3 linked regions of the Nothobranchius furzeri genome follow. The protein of the gene in region 2 purifies or fractionates together with the protein of the main gene of each other region. This does not show direct contact. Links are inferred from orthologs where the notes say so. Each region holds a gene or a part of one and is shown on either strand. Other genes may lie near its edges.

Region 1 (4,225 bases), on a different chromosome or scaffold from region 2:
CTTTTAGTTGCTGACCTCACACTCGGGTCAGAGTTTTAGTTTTGTTTTTTGTTTTTTTCTTCAATGGAAAATTCAGAGACGCTCAGAGGCACAAAGGATTTATTTTTAAACGCGGCAAGGAACAGATGATGGAGTCATTTGACTCTGATGTCATCATTCTTCATTATTTCTCTCACACTTACCCTTGTTTCTATGTGATTCGTCAGCGTTGGTCGGTGGAAGGAATAAAAAACGCCCCTCCCTCCCCCTGTATGTATATATATAAAACAGGCTGTCAGTGAATGGGCATGAGGAAGGCTGGGAGGAAGGAAAGGGGGAGGGGGCTGGTGCCAATGCGTCATCGTCCTCATTTGAATGGCTGTAAAGCAGAATGAGAGAGGGAAGCTTAGAGGAAGCTGAATGACATTTTCAGCTTTCCACACCCAATTCTCTGGAACATTCCTTCATTCTGCATTCTCACACTGAGCTGACTTTCTGAGAGTGTCTGGAGGAGGCTGACAGACGAAGATCGGACTGTAAGAGCTGATTCAGACTCGGTAACCTTGACATCGGGATTAGGAGGCTTTCTGTTTCCAGACTTGTATGTTTCACATTGTGTTCCTTGTGAGGACCGAGAAGATGTGCTCCTAGAGAACAAGATCCAGGAAATAAAACGGATATATTTTAACTTTAGAAGCTTCAATCCCTTTCTGCTTCTCCACCACCCTGGGGAAGGCAACGCTCCCCCGTCTTGACCTCCGTCCTCTTTACCTCTGCTGAAGAGCCTCTTAGCATCCCGTCGGGCCTTGACCTCCGATATCAGGTGGAAACGTTTTTTTCTTCCTGGATCACCGGCCATGCATATTAAGACCAGCAAGTGTAACCGCTTCTGCCTGGTAGCATCCCTGACCAGTCGGGAAGTGTTCCATCGACACGAGGCACAGGTAAGTACAGGACCTCCTGCCTGAGTGAGGAGGAAGTTGAATATGGAATAGCTAAAATACCTATTGTGTCCATAGAGCAGTGATGTTTTTGACTCTAGTGGTCCAAATCCTGGACACTGTACTGCAGATTCCCTCAATCCAGGCTCATCCATGTCTCCATGGTCCTTCAGAGCTCTAACAAATTAGTCGTTAGTGTACAAAAAAACCAGCAATGCCCCTATTTTGCAAGATATTGGTATTTGGGTCTGTACTGGTTAGACTTAAATGAGTTACACCAAGGTCTATAGCCCTCGGGTCATAAACTGTGAGTAAGTATATTGGTCTTTTTATACTAGGAATCAGGAGTTATTTTAGTGATCATCTTGATTCTCATTTATTTTTGTCCTGATTGTGCCATGAGCAAATTTATGAGCGAATAAAAACAAATAAAATCAACATTAATTGAGAAATCGTCTTAAATAATCGAGATCTCAATTTCAGTCACAATAATCGTGATTATTATTTTTGCTATAATCGAGCAGCCCTAATCTATCGGTTTTATAAGTAAAAATGGACCAACATGAACAAATTTGTATTTTTCCACCCAGTGGCTTGTGTAGGTTGTGTGTCTGATTCAGGAAGGTAGGGTGGTGGTCATGTGACAGCGATAGTAATAATCTCAGAAGCATAAGTGTGTGTTTATGTTATAATATATGAATATCTTATATATATATATATAATGTGTGTGTGTGTGTGTGTGTGTGTGTGTGTGTGTGTGTGTGTGTGTGTGTGTAGTGTTCAGCCATTGGCTCATATTTTCACATCCCGATTTACCTCTTTTGAATAAAATCCGTTCTGTGACTCATGACATATTTTTGCTCATGGAAATTTAAATGGGTGAAGCTCGATTGCATTTTGTTTGGTGGTGATGGAAAATAAACAGGATTAAATGGATCATTTGGATCTTTAGAAGAGGGTTTCCATGGAAATGTTAAGAATATCTGTTGCAGATGCTGGATCTGACTAGAGCGGTGAGCTAAAAGCCAATCTCACTACAATTAAGTCCTATCTAATAATTAACTATCATTTTGTGAAGGTGCTAATGTATAAAGACTTACTCCACTGTTGATTTAGTTTAGTTGAGCATTGTTTAGTCTTTTGATAGTTGTGATTCACTTCAGCTTTAGCCAGCAGCTCCTTTCCTCCTCATCTAACTGTTGTCGGACCTCTTGTCTTGTCTCCAGGTCAGTTTTGAGTCCTTGTTCCGTTCCTTCGACCCAGAAGTGCAGTTCCACTACTTCCGGTCCTTCCGGCGTGTCAGGATCAGCTTCAGCGACCCACTAGCAGCAGCTGAGGCCAGACTTAGACTGAACAAGTCTGACTTCAGAGGAAAAGAGCTGAGGCTTTACTTTGCTCAGGTAAAGTCAGAATAAAAGTCCTGTGGGTCACGCCCACTCCTTAATCCTTTTACTGATTGTGTGATCGTTTGTGTTTGTAACCAGTTAGTTATTATTTACAAGATACAATTTAGCTTTGTTGTTGAGCTCTTTATAGCTTCTATAGGTTTCTGATTGGTCTCCCTTTCCTGATCTGTTGTCTCAAACATAATCTGGCGCTTCTGTCTTCCAGTCCGTTCACATTGGGAGTCCTCGTCTGGAACCTCCCAAACCAGAGAAGCAGTTCCTCATCTCCCCACCTGCCTCTCCTCCAGTCGGCTGGGAGCAGTCTCAGGATGCTACACCGGTGATCAACTATGACCTTCTGTGTGCCATCTCCAAACTAGGACCAGGTACGGCACATGGCAGATCAGGGTTTCAGTTAGGAACTCAAACCCTTTCATCAGAGCGCCCGACTCTGTCTCGGTTACAGAACAGAACCTTTGATGTGGTTTAGACTCTTCTGAATGTCTAAAGGAGGTTCTACTTGTTGTTGCATTAGTGTGATGGACGATGTCCTTCCTTTTTCAGTTAACAACCATGACCTGCTGTGTGTTTATACATTTAAGGTTAGATAAAGTATAAATGAAGGGCGGACTGAAAACTCGAGGTCCTTCCTCTGGTGGATGGGTCTAATTGTCTCAAGGTCTTGCTCCTGAGTCTGCGGGGGCTGCTACCCCCGGGACCCAGACCCAGCTAGGAAGAGGACAAAAAGGTGGATTTAAATAATTGTAGAACCTGGCAAAGTCCAGATGAATGTTCCTCTTAAATCCACTTCAGCCTCAGAAACTAGTTGGCTCTCCAAACCTTTTTTAACTCGCTTGGACTCACAAAAGAGTGTTACGAGCACCATCTAGTGGACATCTCAGGGTTCCAGTCAGAGCCGTCAGCTCTGTTGGTCATAGTTTCTTGAGTTTGAAGTGTTCATAGAAGCGACTTCTCCTCTGTGTAAATCCCCCTGCATTTTGACCTTTAGGGGAAACGTATGAGCTTCACACTGCCACGCCCACTACTCCCAGCGTGGTCGTCCATGTGTGTGAGGACGACGAGCACGATGACGGTTCAGCGCCCAGCGACCAGGACGAGACGGCCCGCCCACCTCGGCCAAAGATCATGCAGACCCGACGCCCCGACTACACACCCGGAGTGGAGCAGTGAGCAGGCTGCACTGGGACAACTGGAGAAACTGGTCATGAACAGAATGAGCTCACAGATGTTCTGAGACGGGGTTTTAAAACCACCCGAGGAGGCTGGAGTGTCCTGTAGACGAGCATTTCATAGTAGAACACAAATGTCGTGGGAAATCCATAACCACTGGAAGAATTTAGCCATCAGATAACATGTAGTGTTTAAGACATTAAGTTGAATCGAACGTGTAAAACTGCCTGAGCGGATATTTATTCTCCACTGCTCTTTCGAAAATAGCTCAAGTTTTTGGTGACATTTAAAAGAAAACTGACCACGATCAAGTGGTTTCCTTATGAAGTCCTGAAAGGAGAACTTGCTGTGTGTTTTTGGTGTGCCACAGATGAGTAGAAGCTGATGAGCTCCCACTGACCTGATGCTTTGATCTCATGAATGAAATCATTCTGGCCCTGCTGCTCCTGACCTATCACAACGGTCTTCATACATAAACATCTCTGGCCTGAGCAGAGAGCACTCCTCTGACTGTGCTGTTTGAGGTTTGTTGTAGTTTGACTTTCTATAAGAAAATGTGGGGCGCAAGTCCCTCAGTTTAAGTGTGTTACATAGTATTGAGTCAGTATTTAACCATTTAAAGCCTGAGACAGGAAATCATCAGAAAAGGATTTAAGGAGGCCTGATGTTTATTGGCTAAGGGCTCTGCTCCTGAATAACTTTTTTCGCCACCAAACCAGTTCCACTCAG
Region 2 (3,500 bases):
TCTCCAACAAAAGGCAAAGACCACGTGAAGACATCCATGAAGTTGGGTAACCAGTAGGGGTGGGGGGAGCAGTTGAACTGTCGGATGTTCATCACGTTGTTCTCATATTTTAATACAGCAGCTGGAAATGACAAAAACGGGGGATTTCAGGGGTGGGATCTTATCTCATGCTTAGATATTTATATAAAAACAGGAAAAACGCTGATAACCTTTATTGTTGTAGACATCTAGGTAATTGGGAGCTGAAAATATAGTAATTAATGAAGGGAACCCTGTGGTCTGGCTTTTTCTGTACATCCGATACCTGCACAGCAACAAAATTTAAACATGATTATTAGTCCCGAAACTGTAAAATGCTTTAAATGAACAACCATTATAACACTTACCCAGCATCCTGAGCTTCATGGGCTCTTATTACTGAAAGCAAGTTGTTATTTACCAAAAAGTCACAGACGGCTGAATAACTGCAAACACAGTGAAGCACAGATAACAGACCCACACGTTACTGAGTATATTTCTGTAACCAGGTCTATTTGATTCCTTTGGTCTCATTATAAAGGTAACCAGTGTGGGATTTGTTCAGGGGCAAACTGGGACAAAAATTCATGCGTGGGGTGCGCGCGGGGTTCAGGGGCCACAAAGAGGGAGCCCGCGGGTCGCCTATTGAGGACCACTGACCAAGACTTTTCAAACCTGGACTGGATTATTCTAGACCAATGTTAAAAATGAATGGATAGGCACAAGTTTAGGTGCATCATAATGACAGCCTTAGATTAATGAGATGTTTTTTTACTGTAAACTGGGACACATTACTGATTAAAAAAAACAACAACATTTCACTCATTTGGTTTAAAATGTTCTTAAAAACTCGCTTAACACATAACTTGCTCTTGTCGGTGGGCGTGTCCAGATGTAGCTTGTTTTCTTAAAGTAACTGAGCTCTGAAACGACTCATTCTGGAAGGTCCTAAAAATATCATGAATAAAATAACTGTATGAGAGTGATTTACTGCAAAGCACTACATAAGCATGTTTTGTATCAACATTAGAACTAGAAGAAAAGCTCTGATAAGTCTCCTTTAAACAACTGAACTGTTCAAATAGTGTGATGTGAAGGAGGCGGAGTTGATCAGGTGTGGATGAACGCGAGAATGATCTACAAGACCGGTGAGGAGAACGCTCGTTGTTTGGAGAACAGTCGTCTATAAGCAGACGTGGAGCTCTGGTGGAGGGATAGTTTTATTGGTGCAGCGGGATTATTGTGCTGTGCTTTAATAAAAAGACTTTCTATTGTGAACCAGCGACCTCTCGGTGGTTAGTTGAAGGTTTTAGTCAGCACCAAACCCATTATTCATTACAATAGTTTAATGAGAAAAATACTCAGAACTCTACAGTAAAACAACCAAATGCAGTCTTCAAAAGTCCCACGGGCTGTTCTGAACTTCATTTAGAAAATCAGAAGGTAGTAGGGCTCTAAAATCAGAGGTCTGACCCAATACCTGAAAAAGTAGGAGCAGCCTCTAACAGAATTATGGTTGAAGTGTTCAGATGTTTTTTCACTGCCGTAGTCCTCACCGGGGTCAGCCCAAATCAGGTCACACATGGGCCCAAATGCTGGCGGCTCTTTAAATCTGTCTAACTGTTAAACACAGACGGGACAGCAGAGCAATGGAAAGTTACATACAGAAGATAACTGGGTAATCAAATGTTAGAAAACACTCGATTCATAAGGAACACACGAAAGGAAAGAGTGAGTGAATCACTGACCTTTCTTATGTCATCTAAGCAGTTTATTTCTGGTGAGAGCCCCCCGTGTACACACAGGAACTGCTGGTTAAGCAGAGCGGCGAGGGGCAGGCAGTCAAAGGCTTCCATACAGGCGTCATAAACCCGCTCAGAATATTTGATTTTACCTGAAACACAAACATGGAGAAAACAAGACTCAGCACTGTGGGCTAGCGTTAGTTAGCCTGTTAGCCAGCGACAGCTAAACACGTTAGCCGAGGGCTTTTAGGTCCAAACTAATATTTTTGCTCTCTTGAACTGAAAAAACATTTTCTGTATTTATTTGTACTTTTTTTAATATTTGAAAATAAACTCACAAGATGTTGAGAAACCATACAAGTGGACAACAAGATAAAAATCATAAAATTAAGTCTGATTAAAAAAATTCATGCGACCCTACCAATGATGTGAAAACGCTCTAAAACAAAAATCTACCTTAGTCTGAATTTTACAAACATTATTACTAGGATTAAAAAGCACAGTGACCCACCAATGAACTGTGAGGCTGAGAGGAGACGCACTAAAATAAAGATTGTTTTTACCACATAGAATGTTTGTATATTTCATATAAAGAGTAGATTAAAACGCAGCAGTACCTCCAGGAATGGGTGAAAGAAAAGTCTGCACATTATTCTCTTTTATAAATTTACTTATTTTCAAGTGAAGAAAAAGAAAAGCATGAGCGAAAACAGGCTGCTTATCAAGCTAGTGCAGGCGGCACTGACGAGAGGCAACATCGTGAAGACGTACACACACACACACACACACACACACACACACACACACACACACACACACACACACACACACACACACACACACACACACACACACACACACACACACACACACACACACACACACACACACACACAACTTTCTCATAAATGATGATTGAAAAAAGCTTCATGACTTCACAACAGGTCTGGAGGGTCTTGTCCTTAAGTTTTGTACCAGCCCCCATACACACACAAGTAGACACACTCCCACCAGCCATCTATGCCCTCAAAGAGCTTCTGTCCCTCAAGAAGCAGCTGGAGTAGTTCTCCTGCTCCAGATCCAAGATCAAAGCAATGAAACAGACTATGATGTCCGTGAATTTTAAAGATTCATTTTGATACCAAGAACGTGCTTACCGTAAATCCTCTAATACAGGCCTGTATTTAATTAACTGCCTGGTCTCATATTTTGGCCGGTGTCGGAGTCGGTGGAGGTGAATAATGGCCGGTCTCTTATTGTGGCCGGGTGGAATGTGGTAACAAGCAAGTACGGAGGGCGGTTGTGCCATCGTCTCACTTTTGATTTGCCAGTGATAGACCGCGAGGGTAACTTTAACCGTGCGGAGACGAAGAGGAGGCGAAAATTTGATATCAAGTTCAAAGAGAACGTGCTGATTATGCTGCAGAACACTCTGGGGAGCAGTAGCAGGGGTTGTATGAACTAGTCGACTTCACTATAGTGACTTTTTATGCCTGTCGTCGACTAGTCGCTGTCACTTGATAATGACCGGCAAGATGCAGCCCTCGGAAAAGACAGCAGCCTGCTGTCAGCAGGTGACAAGCTCCTGCGCTGGGGGGGGGGGGGGCAACGCGCTGTGCCAGAGCGTCGGTACTGACACGCGATCGTTCATGTCGGTTCATTTCCTTTAATGTTTTCTGTCTTTTATTTGCGCCTGATGCGTTTCGCTGCTGTGGAGCGGGGCGCATCACCTTGTCC
Region 3 (3,500 bases), on a different chromosome or scaffold from region 2:
TTAGATATTACGCTAGTCATGACCGGCAATTACTGAGTGGGCCAGTTTAACGGCCAGGCCACCGGGAAATCTCCCGTTTTTCCAGATTACCACTCCGCCACTGAAGAGATGTGTGTTAACTCCGAAAATGTGGGCGCAATTTTAATTACTTGTCAAGCATGTATGTGTAAGCATTGCAACTCATTGACTGACAATTTGAGAAACCCAAACATTTCAGAAAAAATACATGAATCATTTTATTTATTGTTTCAAAATGTATTGTTTTAGTGTTTTAGAATGGTTTAAATCACTGTTGTGGTCTTAAAAGAATACACAAAAACTATTGAAGTGGTGAGCCTCTGCAACATTTATTTAAATTGTGATTTATTTACTCAATAGATATACATTTTATTTATTAACTTTCACATTTGTCTTGATAAGAGTAATATGTTTTGTGTGAACATGATTATGATTTACTGAAGAGTATTGGTGGGGTGGCCAGAAATCTTCCAGGGTTGGCCATGGCCCCATGCCGAGTGCATGTTAGCGAGAACGCCGCAGAGCTTTAATTCTGTGCTTTCCCCTTGATCGTAGAAACTCACTTGGGCAAAGTAGAGTTTTAACTTCTTGCCGTTGAACTCTGACTCGTGCAGCTCGATGCGGGCTCGAGCGGCCGCCTCGGGAGTGCTGAAGTTGATCCGGACTCTCCTGAAGCTCTTGAACATCTGGAAAGTCACCTGCTCATCGTAGATCCTAAACAAGGCTTCAAACCTCTCCTGTGGAAAATGAAGACATAAAGAGACCATCAGCAGCTGCACACTCTTCGCTAAAACACGCCACACATTTGATCTTAAATGTGACTGAAGACGTTCGGACACCTCGGCCGCTGCAACACAGCACTCCTCTCCTCACCCTCTCAGTATGTGATTAACTTGATGAAGAAATTTGATGTGCAGCTTTGACTCACAGACCTTTTGCCCCTTAGTTCTGACCTTATTAAAAACCTCTCCTCTCTTTCGGCTCATCCCCAGCTTTTACTTTAGGTTTCATCTTTTTTTTTCTCTTTACTTTGAAGTCAGCCCTCTGCTTAGGTACCAAACTGGCAACTTCTACTGTGAACTCAATCAAGCACCTCAGCAGGAAAGCAGCCACCAGGAGAGCTGATTTCTGAGAAATGAGTAGCGTTTTCTTTGTTTCTTTGTCGACCATCTCCCAGCAGCGGGTGCAACCCGCTAGAGAAGGAGGCTTCATTCTAAGAATAAAGACGAGCGATGGACTGGATGTGCCTTTCTGAAAAGAGGAAGGATCAACAGCTTCTCCAACATAATTAGCAAATAAGTAGAAGTTTGCACAAGTGTTCCTTTCCTTTTAATTCACCCGTGCTCCTCCTGACCTGGTGCTGATGTCAATTGGTACCCACTGCTCAGAGATCAGCCTCTAATCCTGTTACTCTGAGGTAACTTTTTATCTGGCCACAACTCCCTTTTCTGAAACTAAAAACACTTCCCCCTGATCAGCTGAGACAGCAGCTCTCATCAGGATGGAAAGAGCACCCGAAGGAGCCTGGAGCACAGGCAGCACGTCAACATGCACCTGTGTGGAGTAGTGACAGCACGGTGACAGGAGATGGTAGGAATCTGTCGACTCGTCACACAGAGCCAAGTACTAGGCCTCGTCCCAGTGCTCTGTCAGCACTGTGCACTTTTAGTTAATGTTAGGTACTGAAGTAAAAAAATTAAAAATAAAAAGCTGCAAAAACAAGCGTAATGTTGCCCATCGTGGTGATTCAATTCAATGGAAAATGATCTAAAGTTCTCATTCAAATAACCCCACCCCCTGAGAATTCTAACCGAGCCAATCAGCGCTGAGTAGCGTACGTCACACACCACGATGCCGAGTTTGTCATAAACATGGTGACTGAAGCAGAGTTCGCTGCGGCTCTTTCCTCTGTTCTAAATGACTTGGACACGTCTTTAAAACAACAAGTAGAAGCGCTAAAAGCATTTCTTCTAAAGAAATATGTTTGCGCTGTCGCCAGACGCCATTTTTGACTACAGCTGAAAAGCTACAGCGTCGCGGACGTCACACACAGCGATGCTCAGTTTCTCATAAACAACGAAGACAGCGGCGACGTTCGCTGCGGCTCTTTTCTCTGTTCTAAAGGACTTGAATGTCTTTAAAGCAACAAGTGGAAGCACTAAAAGCATTTCTTCTAAAAAAAAAAAAAAAAAGATGTTTGCCAGACGCCTGTTTTTACTGCAGCTAAAAATACTGCAGCGTCGCGCGGTACAGTCGGCATTTCCGTCTTTTATCTGATTGGTTATTTCTGAGCTGCCTAGTCCCGCCCCTCAAGTGCCTCTCTGCCTGTGAGTTACCAGACTCTGTCTCTGTGCAGAATTAAACAGAGGACGAGTCTGGCAGGCCAGGCTATATGTGTCTTGTTGGAAGACTGAGTTTTCCAGTGAAATTCTGATTTAAAAATCGCAAATATTGTCTGGCTTTTAGTATCGTCATATATCGTATTGTCTCCCCTGTATTTCCCCCGTATTGTGATTTATATCGTATCGCCAGATTCTTGCACCACCTATTTGACGCTCCTGAGTAGTCTTTGTTGTTCTTTTCCTGTTAGTTTTAATTTCCTCCTCATGCTGCTGCAAAACAATAAAAACAAAACAGTGCTCAAGTGTTACAAATATCCTCATAACTTTTTTTGCCAGTAGCAAATTTACCACTCGCTCAACAGCCCAGATTGATGGCTAATGGGTTCCATAGTGGCACTGGTTCAGTGTGAGTTAATGACGAGCAGAGACGCAGCCACAATGTTTTACTGGGCCTAAAAAAGTCTGTATGGCAACAGAGAGAGAACTAAACTAAAACATACAATAATATCCTAAATGTATTTATTCTAAAACAAAAAGGAGGAAAGACTTTACGACTATCAGCTTTTATTTATTTAGCTTTTCATTTACTTGAGAACATCCAGCCTGCTCACGAGTCCCGCAGACAGAACTCAGTCGTGGGGCAGAATCTACAGTTGTCCTTCAAACTGTTTCTGCATGCTGTTGGACACCACTAACACCAATCAGAGCAACAAAAAAAACGTGACATATTCGTTATTGCAGAAATCAGTCAACAAGGCAGTCTGCCATCCACGTCGAAGAAAAAGAAACAAATACATCTTTTCTTCCATGTGAAGGACTTAAGTACTTATATCTGCTCGTGTCTCAAAGTCTAAATCATCCAAAGTTGATGCCAAAGCCGTTTCAAACATGTGCCGTCTTTGTAGTTTTTCTCTGTAGCAGCACTGGAACTAAGCCATCCATTTTCATCTGCTTATCCAAAGTCGGGTCGCGAGAGCAACAGCCTAAGCCACCTGGGCCAGCTCCTCCGAGGGAATCCCAAGGCGTTCCCTGGCCAACCAAAACACATAGTCCCTCCAGCGTGTCCTGGGTCTTCCTTTAGGTCTCCTCCTGGTTGGAGGTGTAAGGAAAACCTCACCAGGAAGGTGTCCATGAGGCATC

What was found. The genes of interacting proteins can lie anywhere in the genome.
Region 1: the proteins of ppp3cca (region 2) and rcan1b purify together in Homo sapiens (affinity purification with mass spectrometry; 3 studies listed by BioGRID and IntAct, counting the BioPlex papers as one, with this or other methods). This does not show direct contact. The link is inferred for Nothobranchius furzeri from reciprocal best matches to the Homo sapiens genes PPP3CC and RCAN1.
Region 3: the proteins of ppp3cca (region 2) and rcan3 purify together in Homo sapiens (affinity purification with mass spectrometry; 3 studies listed by BioGRID and IntAct, counting the BioPlex papers as one, with this or other methods). This does not show direct contact. The link is inferred for Nothobranchius furzeri from reciprocal best matches to the Homo sapiens genes PPP3CC and RCAN3.

Annotation. Positions count from the first base shown.
Region 1 is NC_091743.1:81,115,966-81,120,190, forward strand, and holds the end of rcan1b (calcipressin-1), read left to right. Parts: intron 1-609; exon of another isoform or gene 610-836; coding exon of another isoform or gene 837-923; intron 924-2,146; coding exon 2,147-2,320; intron 2,321-2,531; coding exon 2,532-2,691; intron 2,692-3,314; coding exon 3,315-3,496; 3' UTR 3,497-3,725; downstream 3,726-4,225. UniProt on the Homo sapiens protein: Inhibits calcineurin-dependent transcriptional responses by binding to the catalytic domain of calcineurin A. Could play a role during central nervous system development.
Region 2 is NC_091757.1:27,072,524-27,076,023, forward strand, and holds part of ppp3cca (protein phosphatase 3, catalytic subunit, gamma isozyme, a), read right to left. Parts: intron 1,913-3,500; coding exon 1,767-1,912; intron 1,639-1,766; coding exon 1,499-1,638; intron 465-1,498; coding exon 387-464; intron 305-386; coding exon 210-304; intron 122-209; coding exon 1-121. UniProt on the Homo sapiens protein: Calcium-dependent, calmodulin-stimulated protein phosphatase which plays an essential role in the transduction of intracellular Ca(2+)-mediated signals. Dephosphorylates and activates transcription factor NFATC1.
Region 3 is NC_091758.1:28,327,939-28,331,438, reverse strand, and holds part of rcan3 (calcipressin-3), read right to left. Parts: intron 756-3,500; coding exon 582-755; intron 1-581.